Linked DNA regions of Alligator mississippiensis. The protein of the gene in region 1 purifies or fractionates together with the protein of each later gene. This does not show direct contact. Links are inferred from orthologs where the notes say so. Each region holds a gene or a part of one and is shown on either strand. Other genes may lie near its edges.

Region 1 (6,848 bases):
ACCTGGTCTCTCTCCACGGCCACGGCAGTGCCATGCTCGTGGAAAGCCTCCCTGAGGGCCTGGACTACCCATCTGGCAGCCCTCGGCCCCTTGCCGTGCACCAGGCCTGGATGGACCTACTGGGCGGCGCCAACACTAGCGTGGACATTGCTGCCTTCTACCTCACCCTGCGGGACTTGGACACGTCTAAGACGGAGACCTCTGCTTGGCAGGTCAGGCTCGGGGCAGGGGGAGGGGACAGGACACTGCTGGGGGGTGGAGGGGCAGCGGTGCTGACCCTGACCTACTCCTGGTGCTCCCTGCAGGGCAGGGAGGTGTTTGAGCGGCTATGGGACCTGCCAGCCCGCGGGGTGCAGCTGAATGTGGCTGTGAACAGCCCCCAGGAGTCGAATGCTGACACCCAGGACCTGGCCAGCAAAGGTAGCTGCTGCTCAGGGGCTAGGAGGGAACCAGAACCCTGCTCCAGCCTGGCTGGAGCTGCCTGAGCCCCCGGTAGGCTGGGGGCTGAGAGCAGGGGGGCTTCCAGCCCCCTGACGTCCATCTCGCCTCCCTTTCCCCCCCAAGGGGCTAACGTGAGCTCTGTGGAGATGAAGCGGTTGACGGGCGGGGTGCTGCACTCCAAGTTCTGGGTGGTGGATGACAAGCATGTCTATGTCGGGAGCGCCAACATGGACTGGCGCTCGCTCACGCAGGTACCGTGGGGGCACACGGGCAGGTGCACATGCACGTGCTGGCAGTGAGCTGGCCAGGGGCACATGGGAAGATGGGGAGGGGGCTGTAGCCAGGTGCTGGGGGCTAGATGCTGGGATGGGGCAGGGGCTGCGGGTGCAGGGCTCAGGGCCCAGGCCCAGGAAGCCACATGCTCACCCCCACCTCACCTTCCCGCCCGCAGGTGAAGGAGCTGGGCGCTGTACTCTACAACTGCAGTTGTGTGGCCAGTGACCTGGGCCGCATCTTCGGCACCTACCGGGCACTGGGAGGGCCAGGCACCCCCCTGCCTGCGGCCTGGCCCTCTGAGTTGGCTGCCCTGTCCAGCCTCCGCCGGCCCCTGAAATTGCAGCTCAATGGTGTCCCCACACAGCTGTTCCTCTCCGTGAGTGCCTGGGGGGTGTGGGAGGAGGGGCAAGGGGAGCTGCGCCCAGGCGACCTCGCTGCGCCGGCTCTGAGACTGTCTGTGCCCAACCCCAGAGCGCCCCACCGGCCCTGTGCTCTGCTGGCCGCACCCCTGACCTCGAGGCCATCCTGGAGACCATCGCGGATGCCCAGGCTTTCATCCATGTTGCCGTGATGGACTTTGTGCCCCAGTGCACCTTCTGCACTCCCAAGAGGTAGCCGCGGACTAGACCGGCACGGGCTGGGGGAAGTCTAGGAGCAGTGATGCCTGTGATCTCCAGGCCTTGGGGTTTTGCTGGCTGCCACATGGGGCTGGGAGGGAATTTTCCCCTTGCATCAAGATTTCTCCCTCTTTGCAGTGGTGCTTGGTGTCAGCCGCAGCCCAGGCTGGGGGCAGTGGCTGGGTTGTGCCAATGCTTCTGCTGGGACTCAACCCAGAGTGTCCTGGCTGGAGGGTCGTGCCCCCTGCTCAGGGTCAAACTGATGCTGCACAGGGGGCAGGAAGAAGTTTTCCTCTGGTCAGATTAGTACAGACCAGGGTGCGGGGTGGGCGTTGTCTTCCTCAGCAGTGGGTGCCCTGGGGTCTCTGGGGCATATTTAACGCCCCTCCCACAGGAGCAGGGTGCTGGCAGACAGACCCCTGGTTTCCCTTTGGGCAGGCTCGGGTGGTTGGGTTGGAGGTGATTGCATTGTTGTGCCCATAGGTGAGTTCGCAGGGGCTGGCTTGCGTGGGGCAGGGGTTTGGGGCTGGATGCGACTCCCAGAGGTCTCTGCCTCTCCCCGTGACCAGCGCCGGCTGCCCGCAGGTTCTGGCCAGTGCTGGATGAGGCGCTGCGGGAGGCAGCCTGCGGCCGGGGGGTGCGCGTGCGGCTCCTGGCCAGCTGCTGGCCTCACTCTGACCGCGCCATGTTCCCCTTCCTGGAGTCGCTGCTCATCCTGCACCGGGAGCCCCTGGGCTGCCCCATCGAGGTGGTGAGTCCTGGAGCTGCAGGAGAGGATCCCAGCCCAGGGAGGGGCAGGGGTCACTTCAGAGCTGGGGGGGAGGTTGGGGTAGGGGGTGACACTACCGCTCCCTCCACCTCTGCTGCAGAAACTCTTCGTTGTCCCGGCCACGGAGCAGCAGAAGCAAATCCCCTTCGCCCGTGTCAACCACAACAAGTACATGGTCACCGACCGCGTGGCCTACATCGGTAAGCCCGGGCACCAGTGCTGGGAGGGGGCTGGAGGCGTAGACACCTGGCTTCTCCCCAGCCCTGGGAGGGAAGTGGGCGTGGGGGCTTGGAGCAGGGAGGAGCTGGGAGCCCGGACCCCTGGCTTCCACCTTTTTCTGGGGACCTCTCTGGTGAGCTGAGCCCTCCCCTGCCCAATCCCAAGCAGCACTGGTGTTTATCACTGGTTTCCCCCCCTCCCCGTAGGCACCTCGAACTGGTCGGAGGATTACTTCATCAACACCGCAGGCGTGGGCCTGGTTGTGAATCAGAGCACCGAGGAGCCGGGGACACCCGGGCCTTCCCTGCGGGAGCAGCTGGCCGCTGTGTTCAACCGGGACTGGGAATCTCCCTACACGGAGCCGCTCAGCCTCAAGCCCCGCTGTGCTGCCAGGCACTGAGGGCAGCTCCCGCTGAGGGTGGGGGAAAGCCTGGGACCCCACCCTCCTCCCCTGGACTGCTTTGGACAGCTGGGGATACCAGGTGGCTCCCACCCCCCACCTGGGGGGGCTGGGACCCTATTAGCCAAAGAAGGGGCAGCAGTAGCTGCCTAGTGCCAGGCACCCCATGGCTGCAGCTATGGCCAGGGGGTCTCTGCACTGGAATCTCAGGGTCTGATGCCCTCTCCCTGCCTGGGGGGGGCGAGGGGTCTTGGGAGGGTTGTGCTCAGGGCAGCAGCAGGGGCAATGGGCATTGTTTGGGGGGTAGGTCATGGGCTGGGGCAGGAAGAATCGGGGCTAATCAGGAGCAGGGCCTTGTGGCGGGAAGGCGGGACGGGGTGGGCAGGGGGCTGCTTTGCTGGATTGCATGGCATTGTGGGGGCACGGCGCCTCTGCCAGTTTGCACTGAGCCCGGCTGGGGGGCTGTGGCCCAGGTTTGGGGGGGGGGGGGCATACTGATGTGGGCCAAGGGGGTTCAAAGCTAGGCTGAGTGGCTAGCCCTGGGGGTGGCCTGCGTGGGGATGGGGGGGCAGGGGGCTTTGTACACAGGGGCTGTGCCTTGGGGGTGCAAGGGGACGCAGCCCTCCCCAGGGGCCAAACGCGGGGCCAGAGGTGGGGGGGTCGGTGGCTCTGAGCAGCTCCTATGTGGCTGGGGGAGGGGGGGGCTGCACCCTGCAGGGGGTTGCAGTGGGTTTGGGGGGCTTTGCAGCTGGGCCATTGCGGGGGGAGGAGTGGGAGTGGGGGGGGCCTGTGCATTGCAGTTGTCACTTTCCAGAGTTTATTTTTGTAACCAGAGCGACAATAAAGCAAATTCTGATGCCACTGGGCCTGTCAATCACCGCATACGCCCCACCCCTCGCGCTATCAATCACCGCCCCGGGCCCCGCCCCTGCCCCTGCCGGGGGCTCCGCAGCGCCCCCTTGTGCCTGCCGCGCGCAGGCGCCGTTGGGTGCCTCTGGTGTCATGGCGGCCGCGCAGCCAGCCTGCCTCTGCCCCGAGTGCGCATGCGCTGCAGCTCGCTGTCCCTCGGCTGAGCGCATGCGCAATTAGTTCCCGTGGGGGTTCTGTTACGGGCCGAGGGGGCGGGGCTCCCGCGGGGCTGCGGCCAATCGGGGGCAAGCGCGGTGTTGCGGGTTCTTTCCGGTCCGGAGACGTCGGGACTCAGGAGGATGTTTTACCACGTGAGTGGCGGAACCCCCCCCCCCCCCCATGCCCCCGGGGCTGGGACACTGCGGACCCCGCCCCAGGGAGACCCCCAGCGCAACCAGGCTTCCCGGCATGCACTGCTGCCCAGCCTTGAGAAGGGGGTTTACCTGGGGGGGTGGACAGCGGGAGGGTGACAGTCCTGGGGGGAGGAAGGAGGGCTGATGGGGGGAGGGAGGGGGGTTGACAGGGCAGTCCTGGGGGGGGTGATGGGGGGGCAGTCCTGGGGAAGGAGGGGAGTGGGTGGGGGCAGGGGGGCCTGTCCCAGCCCCTGTGACAGTCTGTGACCACCCCATGTCCTGCCCCAACAGATCTCCCTGGAGCACGAGATCCTGCTGCACCCGCGCTACTTCGGGCCCAACCTGCTCAACACGGTGAAGCAGAAGCTCTTCACCGAGGTGGAGGGCACCTGCACGGGCAAGTGAGTGGGGGGCCAGGCCAGGCTGGGTTGGGGGAGAACAGGGAGCTGGGACACGTGGATGGAGGGGATCCCACCATGATCTAATGTCCTAACGAGACTGGTGTTGTCCCTCCCCGCCCCGTTCCCTCCCTGGCAGGTACGGCTTCGTCATCGCCGTCACCACCATCGACAACATCGGGGCAGGCGTCATCCAGCCGGGCCGCGGCTTCGTGCTCTACCCCGTCAAGTACAAGGCCATCGTCTTCCGGCCCTTTAAAGGCGAGGTGGTGGATGCGGTGGTGACCCAGGTCAACAAGGTGAGGGGCGGCGGGGCACAGGAAAGCCTCTGGTGTAAGCCCTGGTGCGGAGGAGGGCTGCAGCCCTGCACCATCTGTCTTGGGATGCGGGGGGCTGTAGAAGCTGCTGGAGGCTGGGGCGTGCTGCCTCTGTCCCCCAGGACTAGAGTGACCAGATGTCCCATTTTTGGCTGGGACAGTGCCAGATTCTGCAGGCTGGTCCTGGCTGGCTGGGCAGAAGTCCTGAGCGGCGAGGCCGAGCAGCTTGGTGCGCCAGGCGGGCGGGTGGACACCTGCTGCAGTGCAGGAGCAAGGCGGGCGGACGTACGGCCACCCTAAGATACCACATCCGAGACCCCTACGTTCCTTGCTCCCGCGTTGCCCAAACCCAGGACTGTCACCGTGGCCCTCACAGCTTTGCTGCCTCCTCTTCCCGCAGGTTGGGCTCTTCACTGAGATCGGGCCCATGTCTTGCTTCATCTCCCGCCATGTAAGCACTGCCTGGGGAGGGGGCTGGGGGCTGCCTCTGGTCTGGGAGGCTCAGGTGAGACCTGGGAGCCCACCACAGCTGACTGTCCTTCTCTCCATAGTCCATCCCCTCTGAGATGGAGTTCGACCCCAATTCCAACCCCCCCTGCTATAAAACGGTGGACGAGGTGAGCTGGGGCTGACGGTGCTCCCTGGGGGCACCTGGCAGCATTGGGGGGCACTGGGGAGGCTGGGGTAGAAACTCAGGTAGGGGCTAGGGGGTGCCCCAGAGCAGGGCAAGGGGCAGGAGGGTGGCTGTTTTCCAGTACATGAGATTCCTTGGGACAAGGAAGGCCGGGACGGGGCATGTCTGCTTTAGGCTCTGCTACTGTCCTGTTGAGTGGCCTGGGCCCTGTCACTTTCCCCTCGCATGTGCCTCACTTTATTCATCTGTAAAACCATCCAGCCTCCTTCAAAAAACTTCTGAAACCAGAAAAGAGAGGGACAAGCTGGTTGCAAATGGCATCTTAGTGATGAGAGGCATTCATGTCATTGAAGCCCTTCTCCCCTGTGGAGGAGATGGCAGGGGCTGCCGTGGTGTGGGGGGAGGGGGAAGCAGGGTGCAGAAATGAGTCTCGCCTGGGCTCCACGTGTCTGCAGGACATCGTGATCCAGCAGGACGACGAGATCCGGCTGAAAATTGTGGGAACCCGAGTGGACAAGAATGACATCGTGAGTCCTGCCTGCTTCTTTCTGTGGGGCTGGAGCCGGGTTCCCAGCTACCCCATTCCTAGCAGAGGGGCTGTGGGCCTGGAGCAGCTGGGTGGGAAGGAGTTGTGGGGCTGTCCCAGTGCCAGCGGGGTGGGAGCATGGGGGCTCCAGTCCCAGGCTGCGGGAGGGGGCGGGGGGCATACGCGGTGCTCACACCTGTGTCCTGCTTTGCAGTTTGCCATCGGCTCCCTCATGGACGACTATCTGGGTGAGTCTCGTCTCTGGCTCCAGGCCTGCCCCTATCCCTGCGTACCTGCACAGACTGGTGCTCCTGACAGTTGGTGCCCGCGGGTCGGGCTCTGCTCACCGAGGGGCTGCAGTCTTTCTCAGGTGGGGGCTCCTGGGCGATGGTGCTCCAGGGTCTCCTACATCCACCCTTCTCTCTCCATGTCTCCTTCAGGTCTCGTGAGCTGATGCACAAGCCCGTTCCTCTGGTTGTGTCCCTGGGCTCCAGCTGGGATGAGCCTTGCCTCTGCCCCCCTGCACTGCTTGCCCTATTTATGGGGGTCCGGCGTGGGCCTGCCCAGGCCTGGGGGCCGGGTCCACACCTGCCTGTTCTTCCTCCCAATAAAAGCTGCTTTTCATACACCGCTGTGGTGTGTCTGCTGTTCCCCACTCCCTCCCGTGACCCGAAGCTGCTTCGTGGGAGTGGGAGGGTGTAGGGGGGCAGAGGGGGGCTGCCTGGGGCTGGGCTGTGCTGAAGCACCCGCCCCCGTAGAGCCAGGACTCTGCTGTGCTAGGTGCTGTACAGGCACAGGGTGGGAGTTTGGGGAGAGCTGCAGTAGGATGGAGGGGTGTTGGGGAATGAGCCTGGGATAAGGGGGTGCAGTGACCCTGCAACCCTGGCCAGCCCCATTGGGACCCCAGGGCGGTCTGGGAGGACTGGGACCTCCCTGAAAACAGCACCCCGCCCCCCAGCTGACAGCAGTGGGGGGGTGGGGTTTGGGGC
Region 2 (7,741 bases), on another chromosome or scaffold:
CCCCTCTCCCCTCCGCCCACCATTCACAGTGGCTGCCCCCTCACGCCCTGCCTGCCCCTGGCCCCGCGCCTCGCCTTACTACATGGGGGGCGCTCTGGGGACCGGGTCCCGGGCTGGACACGCTCCGACCCCGCAGCACGAGGCTGGAGGAGCCGGGAGCTGCCCCGGGCCCGCGTCCCCACCCCGGGCCGAGGCCGCCCTGGGCTCGGCCCGCGCGGCGTCCCCAGGCCTCGAGGCGGCCCCTAGGCCCAGGCCCCGAGCGGCTGCGGACGCCGAGGAGCCGGCCCCTTCCCCCGGCCCGGCCGCGCCCGCCTCGCGCCCCTTTGTCTGCCCCGCGCCCGGGACCGCCCCCCCTCCGCTCACTTCCCAAAGCGAAACGGCACCGCTTCCAAGGGGGTAGCCACCAACTCTCGCGACGGCTCGCGTCCTCTCGCGGGAGGGAAGCCCTTCTCCGCCGGCCAAACCTCGCGAGATTTCCCCGACGCTTCTCCCTCCTCCTTCAGGCCCCGACGGAAACCTCGCGAGAGCACGCCGCGAGGCCCTTCAACAAAACTTTATTGAGCCCCGTCGTAACGCGGCACATGGGGGGGAGGGGGACGAACCAACAGACCAACCCCCGCGCTTGTCAGCGTTGCCTTTCCAACAAAACTTTATTGGGAGGAAAGTGAGCGGACAAAGCACCACAGGTGCCCCCCCCTTCAACAAAACTTTACTGACACGTTCCTGAAGACAAATACCCCCCCTCCCCCCACATGCACAAAGTACATGCTTAGGGAGATGAACATAACACAGGTGGTTGTGTTCATTTATGTTCATGTGTGTACATATATACATATACACATATATGTAGGTACATATATACATGTAGACATGTGTATGCATACACCTATTCACATAACTCCCCAAGAAAGCCAAAGGGCCTTGCAAATAGTAGCCATAAAAGGCTGCATTAAACACACACTAAGTACAAAACCTAGCTGTCTACTTATACAGGGGGATTGGGATCACTGCTCCCTGGTCCCAGCTTAACTTCTTGCCCCTTTCTGGAGTTGGAAATAAAATCCAAGAGTTCTGGCTTCCAGTCCCCACCTTTATACTTTAAATCCTATTCCCTGCTCAGAGCTGGAACCAGAAACCAAGACTCCTGATTTTAATAGCTCTTCCTTGCTGCATCCACTTGTCTCTAAGAACCGAAAAGAGGACACCAGCGCCCTGACCCCCAGAGTTCTATCACCCCTAGCTTTCCTCACAGCTGGAAACAGAATCATATGATCCAGAACCCTCATTCTATAGCCCTAACCCTCCAGAGAAAAATCAAGTATTTATTTTTATTGTTGTTGTTACTACTACTTGGACAATCATGTCCAGCAGTTTTTGGAAACAGGGACTGCAGTTCCTTGGTGCTTTTTGAAAAATGGGTCCTGAGGCTAGCCAAAAAGTGAAGCAGATCACATCAGTGGAGACTTCTGGAAATGTCCCTTAGCCATTCCTCAGGTAAATTATCATTGGCTCCTTGTGACATGTTACCCAACAATAGAACAGAAAGTAAAAGGATCTGGTGTATAGTGGGTGGTATAATATAATGTCATTATATGCCAGCCTTAAACACTCCAAAGCAAATATGAAAAGGAAAAGAGCAACAAAAATTGCTTTTTCCTCCCTCTGAGAATAAATACCCTCCCCCCAAGCTTTTTCTACATGGAAAAACTGTGAATATTCCTATTTTAAAACTTCCATGCTTGTTCCTTGAAGTATTGAGGCTTTCAATATAACAACAGCATGATACAGGAATGACTCAAACAGCATATCCATTTAGGTTTGAAACTGTCACTATAGAATGTAGATTTATTTTTATGAGGGTCACATCACTTGAAGGCAAGTTCCAGAAAGCTCTAAAATTGCAGGTTTTAATTGGTGTCTGTTCTATTTGCATGTGTGTATTTACAGCTTCCATTTTGTCACATCGACATTTTGAGCTCTCTCGCTATAATAATGGTGGGTCTGTGTTCCATTACAAACCCTGTTGTCTATATTCACTAGGCCATACAAATTCTCTTTAGGCTGACACTCAGCATATGAAATCTCATCAGTTTTGTTTTTAAGTTAAAGGGTGACAAAAGTACAACTATTTTGTGGATTTACAGATGCTCCTCCCTTCTCTTCCTGAGGCTGCAGTTAACTCAGTAGCGATGGTCCTTCCACATCTCCACGATTTTTAAGATGAAAGACAGGCCATCAAATTACACTCTCAAATTCCCACATAATTCCCAATATCTTTGGATTTATTTTGCTATTGTAGAAAGACATCCAAGCTTGCTTTCAAGACTTGAAGTTCAGATGAATCCACCACTTTCCTCAGCAAATACTGGATCCTATTATTCTTTGGTCTCCTTGTCTGTCTAATTATCTGGTTAATGGAACACTGTTCTCGACTGGAACTAGAACTGGGCACCAGCCTGCAGATGAATAGCTTGTTTTAGTTAAAGTAACAGACTCTAATAACCTCTGGAAAGGAGGAAGAGGTTAATCTCCAGTTTCTATTAATTTCAAAGTAACTATTGTATAAAGCAGTAGTTATTGTAAATCCTAGGTAGCAATTTCTTTTTAACAAAGTAGCACATGACTACAATTTTATCATATAGTCTCAGTGGAATTTAAAACAATTAATTTGTATTCACTACCTCATAAAGATGTAGATACCTTGTATACTTGGCCACTGAAGGAGATGAAATGTCTTACTCAGGAAACAGGAAGAACTCCTACCCCACTCAAACAGGTCACCTCATCTGGTGGTCAAAGAACAGAACATCTTCAGCTGTGGTGTGTTAAGAGGAAGCCATAAGGTGGGCTGGCCCTTTTCAAAGAAAGGCTGGGTTTGTCTCTGACATTAGTATTTTGTCATTCTACAAAGGTGAACCTGATGGTTTTTTTCAGGTTTTGTGGAAGGGAATTGACAATATCAATTTTTCTGTCCATAGTGATGAGCTAGAAATGTAAATTTGGATCTTGATAGTGGGAAAACTGAAATTACGTGCTAAAAGAAAGCAGAAAGAAGAGCTCTAAGTGGAATGCTGCTAATCTTGGTTCCCCCCCCCCCTTCTCTCTCTCTCTTCCTCCCCTCCTCCCCACCCCCCTTTGCAGTGCTTCTATCTTTGGGTGTTGTGCAATTTACTGTTTGTAAAAAACGTTTTTCTCTGGTGAAAAAGAAATGCAAAGTATGTTAATAGTATTGTACTCTGTACTGAACTTGAATGAATAAAGTGGAGGTATGGGAGAAGGGGAAAAAGTCCTTCTAAAGAGATGGGAGGTAAAAGTATTTAATGCATTTAGAAAGCTGTTATGGTTTGCCCCATTACACTTGATTTTAAGATTAAAGTAATATCTTTAACACTTTGTTTGATAGTACCTAGACCAAGTTAAGGGCTCATTGGATGTATGTTTAGACTTAAAGCACAGTGTTTATGGTACTGTTTTATCAACCGCTGTCAGCTTCCAGTTATGTGCTGGGTATGTTCCTTTTGTATTACATCAGTGGTGTTCAACCTCTGGTCCAAAGGTCACACCTGGCCCACAGCCATGTCACCTGGCCTGTGGGACTCCCCACAGGCACAGAAATTTGGTGATAAGGAAGTGATAGCAAAGCTAAGTGTTCCTAGAGCTGTAGTGTTTAACACTACTGCCAGTGTGGAGCCTCACAGGTCAGATGATGTGGCCCTGTGCAGAAGGAGGCTGGGACCGTAGCAACATTGGCATGTATGCTAAAGCAGCATTTATCTGATCTCAGACTTAAAAGGAGTGCTCAGAAGCAGTACAGGGATGTAGGTTGTAGCCGTGTTGGTCTAAGAACATAGGCAGACAAGGTTCCTTGGGTGAATCTGATATCTTTTATTAGACCAACCCAAATAGTTGGAAAATAATAATTAGGCAAGCTTTCGGGTTCAAAAACCCTTCGTCAGGCTAAGGAAGTTTCAGCAGTTGCTGTGTGCTCTTCCTGGATGGAATGAAAAGTAAAAAAGCCAGGGGCTGGGCTGGTATGCATACAAGACAGGTAGTCAGTGAAAATATAGATTGAGGAGTCAATGAGTGAGAAGAAGCAGTACAGTAAGTCTACTGCCTGCCATCTCAGCACAGTGAGATAAGTGAAAAGTCTGCTAGCCACCTTCCTGGAACAGCTGAGATTTACAAATAGTCCAAAAAAAAAAAAAAGTAACACAGTGGGAACATTGCTGTACAAAGCAAGGATTTCTTATGGAGATACCTTTTATTGGACCAGCTGTACAGGCGGAGTGGAGTTAGATGCACTCTCTGAAGAAGAAAGTATTGCCTAACTCCATCCTATCCACCCAACTGGTCCAATTAAAGGTATCGCCCTAAGAAATCTGTGCCTCTAGCCTGGCTTCTGGCCCATCGCGGCTCCACCATCGCTCCTGCCCGACTCGGTATTTGAAATATTTAGTTCTCCTCCCCGTGTAATTACTGTTACATCTCCGTAGCTCTTTCGAACTGCAAAGAAGTCTCAGGGGCAGCTACTATCAAGTAGAGGCTTCGGCCCCGCAGCCGAGCGCAAAAGCCCAAATGCCTAGAGTGGGGAAGGGAAGTTGTACAGAAGCCGAGCTGGTGCTCCAGATCCCGCGAGATGTCGGCGCAAGCATGCTCCGCTCGCTGCTCTCTTGCGAGATTTCCAGGCTCTCGCGAGAATGCGGAAGTGTCGCGCAGTTTGGAGATTAGCTATGGCCGTTGGGATGGCGGCAGCGGCCGCGGACTGAGGCTTCTCCCGTGCGGGGGGGGGGCCTGGCCGCGGGGAGCCGCTCGACGCGAGTAGGCACCTGCGGCCTGCCCCGGGGCCCGCCCCTCCTCCCTTCCCCATCGCCGTCCTGCGCCCGCCTGCAGGATGAAGGCGGCTCAGGGGGGCGCTGAGGGTGAGTGCCTGGGGCCAGAGCGAGGCTGCGCCCCCAGCCCCTCGCTCAGAACGAGGCTGCCCGCGGGGGCGGGGGAGGGGGCGCTGCCGGGGCGGGGACAGGGAGATGCTCATCTCCAGGGCAGGCGGCAGCCCACACATCCTTTTCCCTGGAAAGCCAGCAGTCCCTACCCTCAAGTCCCCAGGGGGATGAAGGACCATTTCCCCCCTCCCAGTAGGTTTCAGGGCAGCATCCATCTGTCCTCAGGAGCATGTCAGGGACCCGTAGCGCACGGGTTGGTGCCCTGTATGAAGCCACGGCTGAGCTGCCCAGGAGGCGACCGGAAGACAGGGTTGTGCTCTTTTACCTGCAGCCAGAATCGGGCACTGCTGCCCGTGCTAGTCCAAACCCCTTGGTAGGGAGCGCTTGCTGGTAGCTAAGGGGCTTCTGGCATGTGCTGCTGCACCCGGATGGGAGAGGAGTGTATGTGCCAAGGACGGGATGTTTCACCTGGAGCTGAGCAGCCTCGTGGTTTACAGAATATGAAGGTGCCCAAAACTGTGTTGGTGCAGGTGACCGTGTGGTGTGTAAGCCAGAACAGCTGCCTTGGGTTGAGATGGACCTTCATGTTGTGTGACTTGCAGCCTTATTGGCTGCACCTCTGTGAAAGGTGATGACAGCTGCCATTTGCCCCAACTTAGGCAAGTTGAGCAGATCCATTTAGTTGCTATCATGATGTCAGCACAGCTTTTAGTAGGGCAGAGTTTGGGAACCTGTTCTGTGCAGTAAGGGAAATGGTTTCTAGAGCTTAGAGTTCTTCCCTATATATAATTTGCCCCTGTATACATCAAATGGGCATGGATTCATTCTGAGGGTTTCAGTTCTGCTGTGTTAATTGGTTCAAAAAAAATTTTTTTAATGTGTATCAGAAACAATCCACGAACATATTAAACACACAAATATAAGGCATGTCTAAATCCACCTCTTCTGCAAAACTAATAATCATCATGCTTTCAATGTAAATTAAAAAGAAGAACTAAAATTAATAGCTAGTCTGACAGACAGGTTACTTTTCTTTTTTTTGGTGACATCTGGTGCCAGCTGCTAAGCAGGGATAGTTGACTTCCTCAGTTTCTGAAGGAAATAAAAGACTATACTCTGGCTGAAATTCTGCTTCTGTTGATGTCAAATGCAGAACTTCTACTGCATCCCAGTGGACCCAGGATGTCATCCATTATCTGGAAATTTGTACCAGCCATTTTAAAGAACTGTTTTCTGCATGTGGACCTGCAGATGCATTCAATATTAAGTTTATGGCATAATACAATTCCCAAACTGAGTTTTGAAATGCCCCTAACATATTTACACAAATAGGAACTTGTGCCATTAAAGTTTTAATCCTAGGTTTACCTTGAACTGGACACCTCAGTTGAAGTTGCCAAAACAAACGGGGATGACTTTGCTTAAACTCCAGGGTCTAGCTTTAGAGAAGCCTGCTCCATATCTAGTGAAAGGGACACCACTTAAAACTATTTTTAGACAAGTGTTATCCCCAATTTTTACAAATATCACAGAAGATACTCATAACTAGAGAGTAAGGAAAACTATTTTCTCTGTTGTTTCAGCTTGTTTACTTCATGCATTTGATAATACCCTTTGTATAGTCAATGACAGTGTTTCCACTGCATCATCAGTTTCTCTGTAGTTTATAAGCTTCTTTTCCATTGCAGTACTGAAGACCAAAGCACTTTTAACACACAGTAAAAAAGCGCTGTAACCCCCCACCAAATAACAGAGAAATTGAGATGCATAAAACTTGTTTCTTAAGTTTTAAAGTTGATGGAATACCATGAAACCCTGTTTGCTGGGAAGTGAAACTGAAGTTGCTAGTTGTTTCATTGTGTTGCAGTATGCAGATTGCTATCCAGATTCAAGGACACCTCTGTATCCTGCAGGCACCCACCCACAGAAGATGCCAACCCATGGGTCTCTAGTATGAGTAAGATCAGAACTCCTTTAAGTCATAGAAGTCCCAGCTCTCTGCAGCATTGGTAGTTGTTGGCCTGTGTTGCATTCCAGCTGTCACTGCCTCAGTCAGGTCCTTCATTTTAAGTGGGTTCCAGCTGGAGTCTTTATAGGCTGGTGATTCACCCTTCACTGCGTGTTACGAAGGTATTCTTAAAAACAATTTAGAGCAAAAATGTGAGTATAATGGCTCTCAGATTTGGGTCCACAGCTTCTTTTCAGGTGGTCAGTCCACAAATGAAAAAGTTCGAAACATAGAGTGTGATTAGGGTTTTGGGAGTAAGGAGGAGTCTGTGGAAGTATTTTTGCCTTATAAAGTTCTCAGCAGAACTCAGAGTTGAAAAACAAACTGCATATGCATGTTCAGTGCTATGAAAACCAGGAGATTTAACCACTCCTCTTCAAAGATCTGTTGCTACTTCAGGTCTTTCCCATGAGCCTTCAGCAGGTCTTAAAAGTGTGTGTGTATAATCAGTAAAAAGATTTTTCAAAGTTGTGGTTTACCCTAACATTGAGATGGAATGGCGGATCTTTTAGATGAAGGGGGGGTTTGTGTCTGTAAAAGTTTTGTGTTGTTTGAATTAACATTAAATTGCAGCAGGTCCTGAATGAGATGTCTTCTGTAATTTGTCCCATAGAAGCAGAGAAGCTGAACAAGATGAGTTCTCTCTTGGAAAGACTTCATGCAAAGTTTAACCAGAACAGACCTTGGACTGAAACTGTGAAGCTTGTCCGTCAAGTCATGGTGAGAGTTTTCGAGAGATTGGTGATATTACATAGTCTTTTTATGATTCATACTTTGTTAGCACCTGGCAGCC
Region 3 (6,996 bases), on another chromosome or scaffold:
GAGCTTTCAATCCCCAAGTTCATACCTCCTGCCTTACTTATCTTCCATGTTTAAACTCAAGGAGAAATGGCAATATATATTTACCCACCAGAAACTAGCAAGTTTATTATGGACTTGACCCCTATGTAGCTGAAGAACAGGGAACTTAAACCTTAGATTTACAATAAATGTTTGCCAATCAAGGATTAATAAATCTGTTTTCATGGATATCACTACCCAACCTCAGAAAAACATGAAACACAGCATTATAAAAACAGGTGGGGAAGAGAAGGGTAAGGGATTCGGCTCAGTGGATGTCTGGTTTCTCAGTGCATCCTGCGCTAAAGAAAAATATCGCTACTTTTAGTAACAGAGGGCAACAGTGGGGAACCTCTTCTCTATAACATTTCACACAACATACAAGTTGCAGACACTTCTACAACACGTTACAACCAGAATGGAAAAGATCCCACCTACTTTTCTGTCCCCTATGTACCAATCACAGTAGCTGATCTACAAACATTTCAGTTAAATGAATGTTGACACCCGCTATTTGACTAGAGTCCTTACAGCATTTTTAGTAAAATGAGCCTAATTAAAAGGAATGGAGAACTTGATGTAGTGGGAAGGCCCCTGGATGAGCCAATGCTCGTCTGTATAATCTATTTCTTATATGCATCCTGGGGTGGGTGGGAAACAGGGGGAAATGTATATATATTTATACACAACATTTAGATCTCAGTATACTTCTCTGGGACTGGTGGAACAGGTTTCAGTGTTAAACTAAACGTGTATGTAAATGAAACACCTTGTTCCCAACCTAGTGAGTATAACGAGCGAAGCAAAAGTGTAAAAGCTGAAGTCCCCCACCAGACTTTCAGATAAGTGCACAGGCATGCATGCACATGTGTGTCCAGCTAGGATAACAGGTTAAAAAAAAGAAGAATATGCACAGAGAAGTCCTTAAAGCCATGACTCTAGTCATGTCTACACTGGAGTGAGTTTGCTGGTATCTATATATCAGCAAATCCTTCTAAATGGGGGTACAGCCTATAACCCAGGAAAGTTATTTTCCCAGGATAGTTCATACTAGCAGCTCCCCACACAAAACTGCTCCACAGGCAAGGGAATTTTTTTCTGGTATAGCTCACCTTTCAGTGGGATATCTGCCAATTAGGACAGTCCTCCTCCCTGCAACCCCCCAAATTATTCCGGCACAGCTGAATCATTCAATTAAAGTTAGGCCTTGGGGTCAGACTGATTTGATACACAAGAACATGAATGCGAATGACCGCTACTCATTTTTATTGTGATTAAACAACTCCTAGCAAATTAATCCTTCAAAACCTATGCTTTGTTAGAAAGCTTTTCTTTGCCAGGATTTTCTGATTATGAGCACCAATTAGCTCCAACAGTTAGAGAAACTGCTGCACTTCTTAGGTTCATACAGTCCAGAGAAAAGCAAGCTTCATTGTAATATCTCTTATTAAACCTACATTGTTGGAAGGGATGTTAGACAAGCGTTTGGGCACAAAAAGCCCTTCCCCAGTCCTCCGATGCCACTCTAAAGGTGCTCATAATTTACACCGAGATCCAGGGTTTTGAGGTAGTACTAACTTCTAAACTGAACTTTCTCCCTTATGAAAACCGTGCTGCAGGTATTTTATGTTCAACATCTACACCAACTGACAATTAGGTGAGACGCAAGGGTAAACCCTGCGTACACAGGGTTTCTTTGGGTTTTTTTAACCCATCGGAAATTCAGGCATGTTAGAGTTATTTTATTGCAGTTCATGTAAGATGAGAGGTGTATAACATTGCACTCGAGAACCACAGGTATCGGGCCGATTTTTCTCCAGCTTTCACGCGGCAGAATGACACGTGCGTAGCGGAGAGCCCCGAAGACGCCATTAGCCTTTGCTACGGCAATACGCGTTTGCGGTCTTCAAGGGCCCAGCACTCACGACCCTGGCAAGACTGAAGTGCCAGCCTCACGTGCCCTGCGGCAGGCAGGGCTCAAGCCTGCCCGTCCCAACGCCCCCACCGCGCGCGGGCCGTCGGAAACCACCTACGACGGAGGTCCTGAGCTGCGCCCTCGTTCGCAACCCCCCGAGCGGCGTCCCGGCTGGCGAGCTGAGCAGGAGGGCTGCCGCGCGCGGGAGCAGGAGCGCGCCTGTGGCAGAGACGGACGGCAGCGCTTAAAGCCCTCGAGTTACTTGGGGCAGAAACCCAAGAAGTAGTTTTCAGTTAAATCCAGTTACACGTAAAACACGCCGGCTTCGCTACGCTAATACCACATCCTCACACCGGGCGATAAGCCTCTTAGCGCCCTGCAGAAAGGATAAAGACCAAGCAGAGACCAGGGCTGCTCTCCTCTCCCCCGGGACGAGCGCAGCACCCCTCAGCCCCCATCTGCCCGCCTCCCCGGCTCCGCAGGGCGCAGCTCCGCCCGAGCGAGGCCGGGGCATGCCCGGGCCGCGCCGCTTCCCCGCTCGAGCCCGGCTCGGAGCCGCCGCAGGCCGCGCCGGAGCCTCGGCCTCGCGTAGGGCGCGCAGCCCGGCCCGGCGCCGCATGGCCGGCCACGGCTGCCGCCTCCCCGTGCAGCCGGCGGGGGCGCGGGCGGGGCGGGGCGGCGCGGGGGCCCGGCGGGACCCGGGCGGAGCCGGAGCACGGGCCGGCGCCCGGGCAGGCGCTTCCGGGCCGGGGCCGGCGCGCGGCCCGCACTCACGTTGCTCTGCGGGTCGATGGCCTGCAGCAGCCGGTCCCTGATCTGCTGCGGGGAGGGCGCCGGAGCCGCTGTCATTGCCTGGGCGAAGCGGGCGGCGCGGCCGGGGCGGGGGCGACGGGCCGGGCCGGGCCGGACCGGGCCGGGGCGGCGGCTCCTCACTCGCCGGCGGCGGCCTCCTCGGCGAGCCGGAGCCGGAGCCGCATGCTCGCCGCCGCCGGGCGGGCGCGGGGCGCGGGCCGGGCCAGGCCGCGCGGGGTCGGCGGGGCGGGCGGGGCCGGGCCGGGCCGGGGCGTCCGCGCCGCTCGGGGCCGAACTCAACTGTGGGCAGGAGCCAGCCCCGCGCAGGGCACCATGGGACACACCCCACGCCCGACGCCCTTACGCACGGCGCGCCTGTGACGTTGCGCTCCCGCGGCGGCGGGCAAAGCGGCCGCGCGCCCGGCGAGCCACTGCGCCTGCGCGGGGGACGGGGTGGAGCCAGTGCGTGCGCGGGGGGGCGGGGCGCCCTGGGCTCAGTTGTGGCCCCCCCGCGGGGGCGGGGCCACCCCTCGCCTCGTCTCGCCCCGCCCCGCCCCGCCCCCCGCGCACACGACGCGGCGCGGCGCTCCTGAGGCGGGGCGGGGCGGGGCGGGGCGGGGCCTGCTCCGCGCTGCCCGCCCGGCTCGGGCGCCGCATCAGCTCTCCGCCGTCAGCGCCCCGCGGGGGAGCACGTCCGCTGCCTCGAGCGCCGGGTGCCGCTGCTGCTGCCTCCGGGCCCGGGCCCGGGCCCAGGCCGAGGCCGGTCCCGTGCGTCCGCTGCGGCCCGCTCGAGCCCGGCCCGGCGCTGCGCCTGAGCGGGCGCCTTGGTGCGTGGCCCGAGGCCGGCCTGGCCGCCCCTGCGAGGCGATGCTGCTCCCTGGCAGCTCGCGCCCCCTCTGCGGCACGGCCGGGAAAAGCAGCGACCCGCTTCACAACTAGCGGCCGCTCAGCCCTTGGGCCCCGAGCAGCGCGCCTCCGCTGCAGTCGGTCTGCAAGGTGCAACTCGACCCTGCCTTCGGCTTGGCGCAGCCGCCGAGCTCTGCCCACGCGCGGCCGGATCCCGCCGTCGTCCTGGCCCCGACTCCGCGTCCGGCCTGAGCCACGCTCCGTCTGCACCGGGGCACGGCTCCCCCGGGTTGGCACCGCTCGCGTCGGATGCGGGGCGCCGGGCCCGGACGCACCCGTCACCCCCGCGGGGGAGTGACTGAGCAAGTGGGGTTGAAGCAGCTTATTCCACATCTTTACAGAGGGCGAATGCAGAGAGCTACGCCGTGGCACTGCCCTGGCTCCTCCCGCTGCCGGGACCTTGCCTTGCCTTGCCTTCCCTTCCCGCAGTAACCCCCCCCCCCCAGAGTACAAGAACTCTCCCCTTGGAGGAGGGGCATTTCTAGGCATGTGGAAGTGAATACTCAAATCCTTACTTACATCTTGTTTTAGAAAACGATTAAATACAGAAATAAAGGGTAAACAGTATCAACAGAAAGCATGGGGAAAGGGATAAAATACAGCACAAGAGAGATCAAAGTAGATAATAGACAAGGCGGGGCTCAGAGTTAGCCTAGCATTTCTACAAAGATCTTTTCCCATCAATCCTCCCAGGTAGATTATGCTGTGCCTTTGGCTTACAACGACCCTCCCAAGCGACATCAGCATTTCAGGTAATACGGGACAGCATCTCTTCGCAGACCTGAACGGCTGTGAGCACACAGCGCTTGTGCAGCGGCTGCATGCTTGCTCCTGCCTAGAACTGGACGCTTGACTGAACTGGAGGTACAATCCATTAAATCCCTCTCCAGTCCAGGAGCTAAAGTGCCTAGCGGGCAATGAGCTGCTCACAGAGGAGAGCCCGTGACTGAAGATGCTTGCTTAAAAAAAAGAAACATAGAAGTGGGGTCAGGTAATGTTTCCCCCACACCCACACCCTCCACCCCTTTCCTTCCCTATTTATTTTGTCAGCCCATAGTCAAAGTTGCTGGCTGAGGCACACCAATATCAACTTAATAAAAATAAATGCTAGGGGAAGCCAGTCATAATTACAGGACAGTCTACCGCAAACAAAGTTCTTCTAGGATGAAGCTGACTCGTGCTCAGAGTAGGAACAAGACAGCACCCGCTTTAACCCTCAGATAAACGTGTTCTTACTGCTTAGTTACACGTTCCCTGCCATAGCTGAGCTGTTTTTCTTGAAGGCTCTAGCACTGGTCCAAAGATTCAATTACACTCAATCATCAACACTGATTGAAGAAGCTTGATTGCATTACATGTATTGACTGTTTTAGATGTATGAAGCTGAGGATGCGCTTTGGCATTTTGCGCACCACTTGATAAAACTAGTTGCCATCTAATTAACTGATATTTAAATTGCAGTCTCTATAAGTCCTCAATTACATTTATCACTTTTTCACAAAAAGAAACATGAACAATAGAACTGGTATCAAAACAGTGCAATAACAGCTCAAAAGCAGGCTGACAAACACCACTCTTCAAATTTAAACCAAATGTTTACTTGAGTACTTTATTACCAAACAACGTGGAAAGCCAAAAGAAAATGCAAGGGAAAAAAAAAGATTGAAAACATGTATTTTTTTATTTCTTTTCAATCTGTTACGTCATCAGAACACTTAGAAGTTGGTTTAAGTATTTGTTACCTCTGTTGATGATGAATTCTCTTTTTTGACCCACAAGTTTCTTGGAACGTCTCCTGAGCCTCCAGGCCCCTTTTATAGTAAATGGAACAGCACAGAGCACGCGTTCTTCCTCATTTCAAATATAAGGATGTGTGTTACCAACTTTAGAAGACTACTTGATTCTGGTGGCCCCTGGACTACTAACTTCATGTTCAAAAAGTCTGCAGGTAGTGTCTTTGGAACAGTTTACAGACAACTATGGTCTTTGATGTAACAAACAGTATTTTTCTCCTCTGCAGTTATTTCTTCATTAGGTAGCCCCCCAAGCACCCAAATGTTGAGGTCATTGCTGCGGCCAAAAGAAAACTAAGCAGCAAATGGCTGGTCTAACTATTAAGTTGCACTGTAACAGCTTGCTTCACTTAAAAAAAGAAAACAGCCTTTTATAAATGTCAAAATTTGTCTTTTGGTCAAGAGAAATGTCTCTTTAAATGCTGCATATATACACCATGTTATATACTGGCAGACTGAAATCAAAGGCAGGAAAAGACCAGGAGTTTCAAATGAGTGAAGAAAAAATCTAAAAAAAAAGGCAAACAATATTATAATACTAGATAGCGAGCAGGCATCATGCTGTTGGCCACCAGTGCCGTTTGCAGAGCTGTGCTTTGAGAATCAAGGCGGCGGCCCAGACTACTTGAGACAACGAGCATGCAGGCCGGCAAGCAAGAAGTGCGCGTGTGGTCCAAGGTGTTTTTTCTTAGTTCAGAGTTGATGGGACCCTGTTCTGAGACATGAAGAGTCCAAAGAGTCAGTAACATCTAGGTGAGGCGAGTGTCCAGGAGGGTCAGTTTGGGTCTACCTAGCCATGAAAGTGCCCCTCCGCCCCTTGACAGTATGCTATGTTGTTCTTATAACCACGTCCTTTCACAATTTGCTGAAAAGCACGAGCGTGTCCTGTCCCTGTAACATCTAGGTACTCTCATGAAAGAAAGAAAACACAGAATTCCACACTGGTATTTTGAAAACATTGCAACATTTTACTTTAAGCGGTCACGTTTCCAGCCGAAAGCCTCTTCCCAGCCACAACAGAACACCTGCGCCCGGTACACGCTTCCATGCCGTTCAAGAGCCAAACAACCTAGTGGATGAAACACAGACGAAGCAGGTGACAGCTGGCTACAACTGCGCAACGGGGCTGGCCTGGCTCAGGTTTTGGGTGTTTTAACTACAAATACACTAGGAAAAGTCTCACCGGGTGACAAAGGTAAGTAGCTTTGCCCCTTTAAAGCAACACGTGCAGCAGTTCTACTTACACAATCATGCAGAACATCATAAAGATGTTCCAGAGCGCAATGAAGATTCGGAAGTATCTGAGACTCAGCAGGAATTCCCGGACGTTGTCCCCTGGAAAGCAAGAGGAGAGGAGAAGCGTTTACTTGAATCGCGGGGCACCCCCACGCCGGCGCCTGACGCGCTCCCGGCGCTGACTCAACGCCGTCCTCGCCTTCCAGGGGAAAGACCACCGAGAAAAAGAAGCGAGAGAAGAACGCAGGTAGGGAGGGGCTCGGCGACGCGAGCGCGAGGGCAAGCCGGCGCACCGGCCAGACCCGTGACCAGCGGCTCCCCGTCACCATCCCGGCA
Region 4 (7,359 bases), on another chromosome or scaffold:
GGAAGGTCTATGAGTGGATGGAGAAGTTCAAACCTGAGCCAGATGCCCCAACACAGCCAGAATGGAGGACACCACCACCCAGGTTGATGCTGCTGTCATATGAATAGGCAAGTGAGCATTCTTGAACTAGTTGTGGAAGTAGGCTTAAGTGCTAGCAGTATCCACGCCATTTTGCCTGATCCCCTGAATTACCAGAAAGTGTCTCTGTGGGCAACAAAGCAACTGACAGGTGTGCATAAATGACAACGTGTGGAAGTGTATACCCAGCTTCTGTAGCATGTACAGGATGAAGGGCTCCTTTCATGCACTGTCACCAGGGACATGACCTGGGTCCAGCATTACAATTCTGAGAGCAAAAGACAGCATGCAATAGAAATACACATTGTTGCCACCACCCAAAAAATTCTGCACTCAATTATCCTCTGCAAAGGTTTTGCTCATCCTGGTCTGGGATTGCATGGGACTTCTTGTCCACTTAATGGAGCATGAGGTTACAATCAATAGTAACACCTACTACCACTTCCTCTAAAACCACCTGAAGCCAGCTATTTGGACCACATGTGAAAGCGTAACTAAAGTGTTTTCCAGCACAATGTGAGATTACACAAGACACAGTTGACCGTTGAGACTTTGCACGAACTAGGCTTTGGAATCTTATCACAGCCACCCTACAGTCCCAATCTTGCACGAAGTTATCATCACGTGTTTGAACCATTGAAGGAGGCTCTTCGTGAACACAGATTCTCCAGTGATGCAGAGGTGCAACTTGTGGTGCAGAAGTGACTGGCATAGTAACCAAAAAGCATTTTTGAGGATAGTATCAAGAAAGCTGTGACACACTGGAATACCTGTGTTGCCAAGCGAGGCAACTATATAGAGAAGTGATGTGGCCCAATAAATGATCACTGCACACAAAATAGTTTTACTTTGAAATTATAGCCTTTGAAACATCCTTGTGTGTGTGTTCCTGACATACACATACATATATGAATGATGTTCAGCCTATGCAGTGAAAAAGCAGAGATCCTGTGGAAAACAGAATGCAACCACAAGATTAAAAAATGTATCGACACACACAAGGGGGCAGAATTAATGTTGCACAGACAATTTCAGTTCTATCATTTCCCAGCTACTTGACTTGGCAACCTCAACTTTCCTTTAACATAGTTTGGGGGTATAGTTGATACCATTTTTGCCTAACATGTCTTAAAGTGCCCTGTCTCCACATTTGCAGGGTTATTTAAAACATTTTACAACACTGAATAGCATAGTTGCTAGCCTATTTGCTAAATGTATGCAAAGAAGTGGGAACTCCAAAATAATGCAAAGAAATGTGATTACTATGTCATAGACAGACAAGGTTCTTTGAGTAAATCTGATATCTTTTATTAGACCAACTCAAATATTTGGAAAAAATTCTTCCTTGCAAGCTTTCGGGCACAAACACCTTTCCTCAGGCTGTAGAAGCATCTGCAGATGGTGTGCGCTCTTCCAGGATGGAATGAATAGTAAAGAAGCCAGAGGCCGGTGTGCATGTAAGAAAGGCTCAGTGACAAGGTAAACAGGAGTCAATGGGTGAGAGACAGCTCTTTCCCTCTGTGCCCCCCACATTTCTCACCCACTGACTCCTACTGAAGCCTCTGGCTTCTTTACTATTCATTCCATCCAGGAAGAATGCACACCAACTGCAGATACTTCTGCAGCCACACAAAGGGTGTTTGTGCCCAAAAGCTTGCAAAGAAGAATTTTTCCAACTATCTGAGTTGGTCTAATAAAAAGACATCAGATTTACCCAAAGACCCTTGCCTACCTATATCCTTAGACCAACACAACTACAACCTATACTTCATTACTATGTCATATAATTTACATAGTATACCTTTGTGCTGCATCTTCATTTTTCAAAGCACTTGATTGCTTACTTCCTAGTAATAAAATATATAAATTAGTGTATGTTTTCTTACCTTGAGGCTCATACTTTTTCACTAGAAATACTGAAAGCACTGAAATACTAGATCATAAGGAAAAAGGATTTGCAAATGCAGAAGAGGAAAGCACAATCAAGATACTTGCACTTTTGGAGGCTGAAGGTGTCAACTCAACAATTACAAAATCAATATTCAGGTGCAAGAAAAAACAGACTGGTAAGGCCCAAATTTTGCAGATGACAGGACAGAGGCAAGACATGTCATTTATGTACCTTGAACACAAATCCAAACTATCTGGGCCCTCCCAACATGGGAAATCACAGAGAAGTAGGGCTGGAAGGGACCTCCAGAGGCCAGCTAACCTGACCCCCTGCCTGAGACAGGATCATCCCTATCCAAACCATCCTATACAAATTCATGATGTCAACTCTTCATAAATCTGCTGTCAGCCCTACCCTTACTTGGCGCAGGGAAAGCATGGGAACCACGCAGCCAACATCCTGCTTCTCTAAAAGATTAGTAATATCTACTCAAGAGGTCCTGGGGAAGGAGGGCTATGCCCCTGCTGCAGAGGAAGGCAATCCTCCCCCGTCCCTATCAATTTGACCACAGGGTAAAGTTCCTTCCTCACCCCAAATCTGACCCTGAGCAGAGGGCAAGACCCCAGCCAGGAACCCCTGGCATTGGCCCCAGCAGAACCACCGACACGTATAGTAGAAAGCCAGGAGGGGGCAACCTGCAAAGCCCAGTCTGCGTTTGCAACCAAGCACGCGCCTGCCCCGGTCCTCCCCCGGGACGCAGCCGACGGGGCAGGACATGGGGGAGGCTGAGCACAGGGGTCCCACGGCCCGCCGGCCGAGGCGGCCAGCACGAGGCTCAGCGCTGGCGCCCCAGGGGTGCCCCGCACGTAACGCTCGTGCTCGCCCCCCCTCCCGGGATGGCTCTGTCCCCCCGCGCGGGGCTGGAGAAGAAGGGCGAGTCCACCGCACCCGGCGGGGGGGAGCTGGGATCCCTACCTGGGCGCCTCCGGCCCGACCTGACCCGCAGCTTCTCCCGCGCCGCCATCACGGCGCCCGCCTAGCCCCGCCTCTCGGCCTGTCCGGGAGGCGGAGCCTGGCCCGGGGACGGCGGCCGCGCGGGAGGTAGGAGCGCGGTCGGGGGCGTGCTGGGCGCTACCTTAAGCGCCGGGTTTCGGCCGTGGTGGGGGATCTGGCTGTGGCCGCTCTCGGCGCCGGGGCGGACACCCGGAGTGAGGCCGGCAGCTGTAGAAACCGGCTGAAGCACGGAGGCCTGAGACCCGCGGTGGCCTGGGCCTCCCGGCGGCCCTGCCGAGCGCGCACACGGTCGCGGGGCGGAAAAGCGCCCACGGCGGCCGGCCCCGGGGCTGGGAGGGGGCGGGCGGGCGGGCGGCAGCGCTTGGTAGGATGAAAAACGAGTTGTTGTAGTTAATGCGTTGTAGCTGATTCGAGCTTGCGTGGGAGATTAAATGTTCCTCTTCTTCAGCCGCCAGTTAACGTAGTTATTATCTAAATAATCCTGTTGGGTTAGTGAAGGAATGAGGATAGTGCGCTGGCGCCTACCGTTTGGAGGTGCACGAAATCTTCAGGCCTCTTTTTCTTACAAATAAATGTGCCTTTGGCTTGAGGATGAAATCATAAAATTCCGTTTTACTGTAACCTGGGGTCCCCCCCTCGTGCAAAGGCTTCACACACAAGTGCGTCGTGTCGTGCCATGCCGGCGGGGGAGTTTCATTGACTTCAGTGGATCTGAACAATAACTAGTGTCTGGAGGTGAAAGGCAGTTGAAGTAGCTTGTTGTATCAGACAGATTTCAAATTTAAGAGTAGTTTTAAGGAAAGCAAGTCTCAAATAAAAGTTAACACCAGCATGGTGAAACTTTGTAGAAAAAAAAGTCTACGCTAACTTTTCTGTTGCAAAGAGCTCAGAAAGGCCACAGCTGTGCATTTCTATTTGAAATCTCTGGGTTTATCTTGTGAATCATTTTTACAAATCTGATAGTGCTAACATTGTGTGGCATCCTGCATCACCCTTGAAAGGATCTCAGGTTACCCCACAGTGCTGTGGGACCCTGGGTAAGAATCACTGGTCCACATGCTTGAAAGAAGAAGAAAAAAAAAAAAAAGGCAAACTATATCATACTAGCTGTTTAGCATGTAACATGTGCAATAACACATACTGATCCCGAACTCCAGTCCTAGAGCATGGTGATTAACTAGACTCTAGAGTACATGATGGTGGTTTTCTGCAGCAGCCGTGCATTCCTACTCTCATCCTTGCAGTTTTCTCCCCTGCAAAATCTGTCCCCTCAAGCTGATTTCTACACGTTTGATCTTGAAACTATTACATATTTGATTCAGTTGCATCAAATTACTTCACTTTTTGTTTGACAAATACAAGAAATATACTGATCCTCATACAGTATCAATGCTATTTCCTGCCTCCAATAAACAAGCAATAGCAATACCTGTATGCAGAGGAGGTAGAATTAAATGACTTCTAATCAATTTTTACATTCCTTTTTCCTTTATTGTTTTTTCTTGTGTAATTATTTAGACTTATTTTCTGACTTATTTTTAGACTTGCATTCATTTTTCTCATTTTTTCATGTTATCATATTTTAGTAAGAATAGGTAAGTTTCAGTCTCCATCTTTAATTCAGCATGTTTTTACTATATGCATATCAATACTGCACTCTTAAATTTATGACAGAACTGTTGTCACAACAGCAAAGCGAAGGTATCATGGCAATTGATGAACTTCAAGCAATTGTTCAAAGATGCGTAAGTAGTTTACTTTTTGTAAAACTACATGAGAGGTTATAGAAACAAGCACTGACTCCATCTAAATGCATGTTATGTTTAAAAAAAGAAAAGAAAGGTAGGGTAGCTTATAGCAACACCCTTTGCTGTCACACAGGGTAGTCACGTTTAGCTTCCTATCTCCATTTTCTCCCTGGTTACTGTCCTAGAACAGTTGTGCCCAACCTTTTGCCTGGAGGGCTGGACTGGCAGTGCCCAGTACCTCTGCATATTGGATCCAGCCAGTGTTCTTGATTCAGTACCTTGGTGGGCCAGTGGGCACCATCTGGCTGTGGGGAGGGGAGCAGGGCCAGACTGGCCCCAACGCAACCTGGTGGAGGGAAGGGGCCCCAGCCCAGCCCTGCAGAGAAGGGAGGGGCTGGGGGGGAGAGAGGGAGGGAAGAGGAGAAAAAGGAAGGGAGTGTGGCCAGGCCCCAGAATCTGCTGTTTTCCCTAGTAGATGTGGATAACTTTTTAGAGTTGAAATAATGAATCACAGATAAGTTAAAATAAAATTAAGAAGTTCTAATTCAGTTTATAATTCAACTCAAATTTGGGTTTGTTGTTTCTGATTCATATAAAGCTAAATGTATGCTTTTCGTTTTAGCAAATTCTGGAAGAAGAAAATTTCAGAGCAGAAGATTTTAATCTTTTTCAAGTAGCAGGCCAGAAGTGTTTAGAAGAAGGGTATGCCGCCCAGTTATTAGAAGTAATTCAAAATGAAAAAAATAAGGTGAATTTATTTTTTATTATTTATAATTTAGAGGAAGCTCATAAGAAGTAGAAACTTGAACAGATAACTAGGGAAGAATATAAGAACATTGCTTGGGCATGCAGGGATGAAGTCAGGAAGGCCAAAGCACAATTGGAGTTGCAACCAGTAAGGGATGTGAAGGGTAACAAGAAGGGTTTCTACACATCTGTTGGTAGCAAGAGGAGGATCAGGGAGAGTATGGGTCCCTTACTAAATGGGGGAGGCAGCCTTGTGATAGAGGATGCAGAAAAGGCTGAAGTGCTCAATGCCTTTTTTGCCTTAGTCTTCACAGGCAAGGTCAGCTCCCAGACTACTGCATTGGGCAGCACAGTCTGGGGAGGAGGTGAGCAGCCTTCAGTGGTGAAAGAGCCAGTTAGGGACTACTTAGAAAACCTGGATGTGTACAAGTCCATGGGGCTGAATGGGATGCACCTGAGGGTGCTGAGGGAGTTGGCTGATGTGATTGCAGAGCCATTGGCCATCGTCTTTGAAAACTCAAGGTGATCAGGAGAGGTCTCAGATGATTGGAGAAGGGCAAACATAGTGCCCATATTTAAGAAAGGGAAAAAGGAAGATCCAAAGAACTGCAGAACATTCAACCTCACCTCAGTCCCTGGAAAAATCATGGAGCAGATCCTCGGAATCCATTTCTAAGCACTTGGAGGAGAAATAGGTAATTAGGAACAGTCAGCATGGATTCACAAAGGGCGAAGTCATGCCTGACCAACCTGTTTGCCTTCTGTGATAAGCTGACAGGCTCTGTGGATGCAGGGAGACTGGTGCATGTGGTGTACCTTGATTTTAGCAAGGCTTTTGATACGGTTTTCCACAACATTTTCACAGGCAAGCTAAGGAAGTATGGGCTGGATGAATGGACTGTAAGGTGGATAGAAAACTGGCTGGAGCATCGGGCTCAGAGAGTAGTAATCAATGGCTCAATGTCTAGTTGGCAGCTGGTATCAAGTGGAGTGCCCCAGGGGTTGGTCCTGGGGCTTTTTTTTTTTTCTTCAGTGTCTTCATCAGCAACTTGAAAGATGGCATAGAGTGTACCCTCTGCAAGTTTGCAGGTGACACCAAGCTGGGGGGGAGTAGTCGATACTCTGGAGGGTAGGGCTAGGATTCAGTGACCTAGACAAATTGGAGGATTGGACCTAAAGGAATCTCATGAGGTTCAACAAGGACAAGTGCAAAGTCCTGCACTTAGGACAGAACCATCCCATGCACCACTACAGGCTGGCATCTGACTGCCTGGGCAGCAGCTCTGCAGAAAAGGACCTGGGGGTTACAGTGAGAATAAGCTGAATATGAGCCGGCAGTGTGCCCTTGTTGCCAGGAAGGCTAACAGCATACTGGGCTGCATTGGTAGGAGTGTTGCCAGTAGGTCAAGGGAAGTGATTATTGCCCTCTATTCAGCACTGGTAAGGCCACATCTGGAGTACTGTGTTCAGTTTTGTGCCCCCCCACTAAAGAAAGGATGTGAACAAATTGAAGAGAGTCCAGTGGAGGGCAACAAAAATGAGGGGGCTGGGGGACATGACTTATGAGAAAAGACTCGGGGAATTGGGCTTATTTAGTTTAGAGAAGAGGAGACTGAGAGGGGACTTAATAGCAGCCTTCAACTGCCTGGATGAGGATTCGAACAAGGATGAAACTAGACTGTTTTCAGTGGTGGCAGATGACAGAACAAGCAGCAGCAAGGGAAGTTTAGGTTAGATATTAGGAAGAAAAACACTGGAACAGGTTACCCAGAGAGCTGGTGGAAGCTCCATCCTTGCAGGTTTTCAAAACTCAGCTAGACAAAGCTTTGATCTAGTTGGGGATGGTCCTGCTTTGAGCAGGGAGTTAGACTAGATGACCTC

The links.
Region 2: the proteins of POLR2G (region 1) and MED1 purify together in Homo sapiens (affinity purification with mass spectrometry; 3 studies listed by BioGRID and IntAct, with this or other methods). This does not show direct contact. The link is inferred for Alligator mississippiensis from reciprocal best matches to the Homo sapiens genes POLR2G and MED1.
Region 3: the proteins of POLR2G (region 1) and MED26 purify together in Homo sapiens (affinity purification with mass spectrometry; 6 studies listed by BioGRID and IntAct, counting the BioPlex papers as one, with this or other methods). This does not show direct contact. The link is inferred for Alligator mississippiensis from reciprocal best matches to the Homo sapiens genes POLR2G and MED26.
Region 4: the proteins of POLR2G (region 1) and RPAP2 purify together in Homo sapiens (affinity purification with mass spectrometry; 5 studies listed by BioGRID and IntAct, counting the BioPlex papers as one, with this or other methods). This does not show direct contact. The link is inferred for Alligator mississippiensis from reciprocal best matches to the Homo sapiens genes POLR2G and RPAP2.

The regions. Positions count from the first base shown.
Region 1 is NC_081838.1:3,128,950-3,135,797, reverse strand, and holds POLR2G (DNA-directed RNA polymerase II subunit RPB7), read left to right. Parts: upstream 1-3,836; 5' UTR 3,837-3,930; coding exon 3,931-3,942; intron 3,943-4,275; coding exon 4,276-4,385; intron 4,386-4,521; coding exon 4,522-4,681; intron 4,682-5,099; coding exon 5,100-5,150; intron 5,151-5,250; coding exon 5,251-5,316; intron 5,317-5,788; coding exon 5,789-5,860; intron 5,861-6,073; coding exon 6,074-6,107; intron 6,108-6,299; coding exon 6,300-6,313; 3' UTR 6,314-6,485; downstream 6,486-6,848. Other genes in the region: 5'-3' exonuclease PLD3, read left to right, coding at 29-212, 306-420, 565-692, 893-1,093, 1,189-1,328, 1,920-2,085, 2,204-2,303, 2,529-2,722. UniProt on the Homo sapiens protein: Core component of RNA polymerase II (Pol II), a DNA-dependent RNA polymerase which synthesizes mRNA precursors and many functional non-coding RNAs using the four ribonucleoside triphosphates as substrates.
Region 2 is NC_081827.1:165,686,100-165,693,840, forward strand, and holds the start of MED1 (mediator of RNA polymerase II transcription subunit 1), read left to right. Parts: upstream 1-4,722; 5' UTR 4,723-4,891; coding exon 4,892-4,919; intron 4,920-7,561; coding exon 7,562-7,668; intron 7,669-7,741. UniProt on the Homo sapiens protein: Component of the Mediator complex, a coactivator involved in the regulated transcription of nearly all RNA polymerase II-dependent genes.
Region 3 is NC_081839.1:407,097-414,092, forward strand, and holds the start of MED26 (mediator of RNA polymerase II transcription subunit 26), read right to left. Parts: upstream 3,010-6,996; 5' UTR 2,783-3,009; coding exon 2,708-2,782; intron 1-2,707. Other genes in the region: SMIM7 (small integral membrane protein 7), read right to left, coding at 6,478-6,493, 6,669-6,759. UniProt on the Homo sapiens protein: Component of the Mediator complex, a coactivator involved in the regulated transcription of nearly all RNA polymerase II-dependent genes.
Region 4 is NC_081828.1:32,973,850-32,981,208, reverse strand, and holds the start of RPAP2 (putative RNA polymerase II subunit B1 CTD phosphatase RPAP2), read right to left. Parts: upstream 3,015-7,359; 5' UTR 2,994-3,014; coding exon 2,945-2,993; intron 1,926-2,944; coding exon 1,880-1,925; intron 1-1,879. Other genes in the region: GLMN (glomulin), read left to right, coding at 4,609-4,728, 5,354-5,479.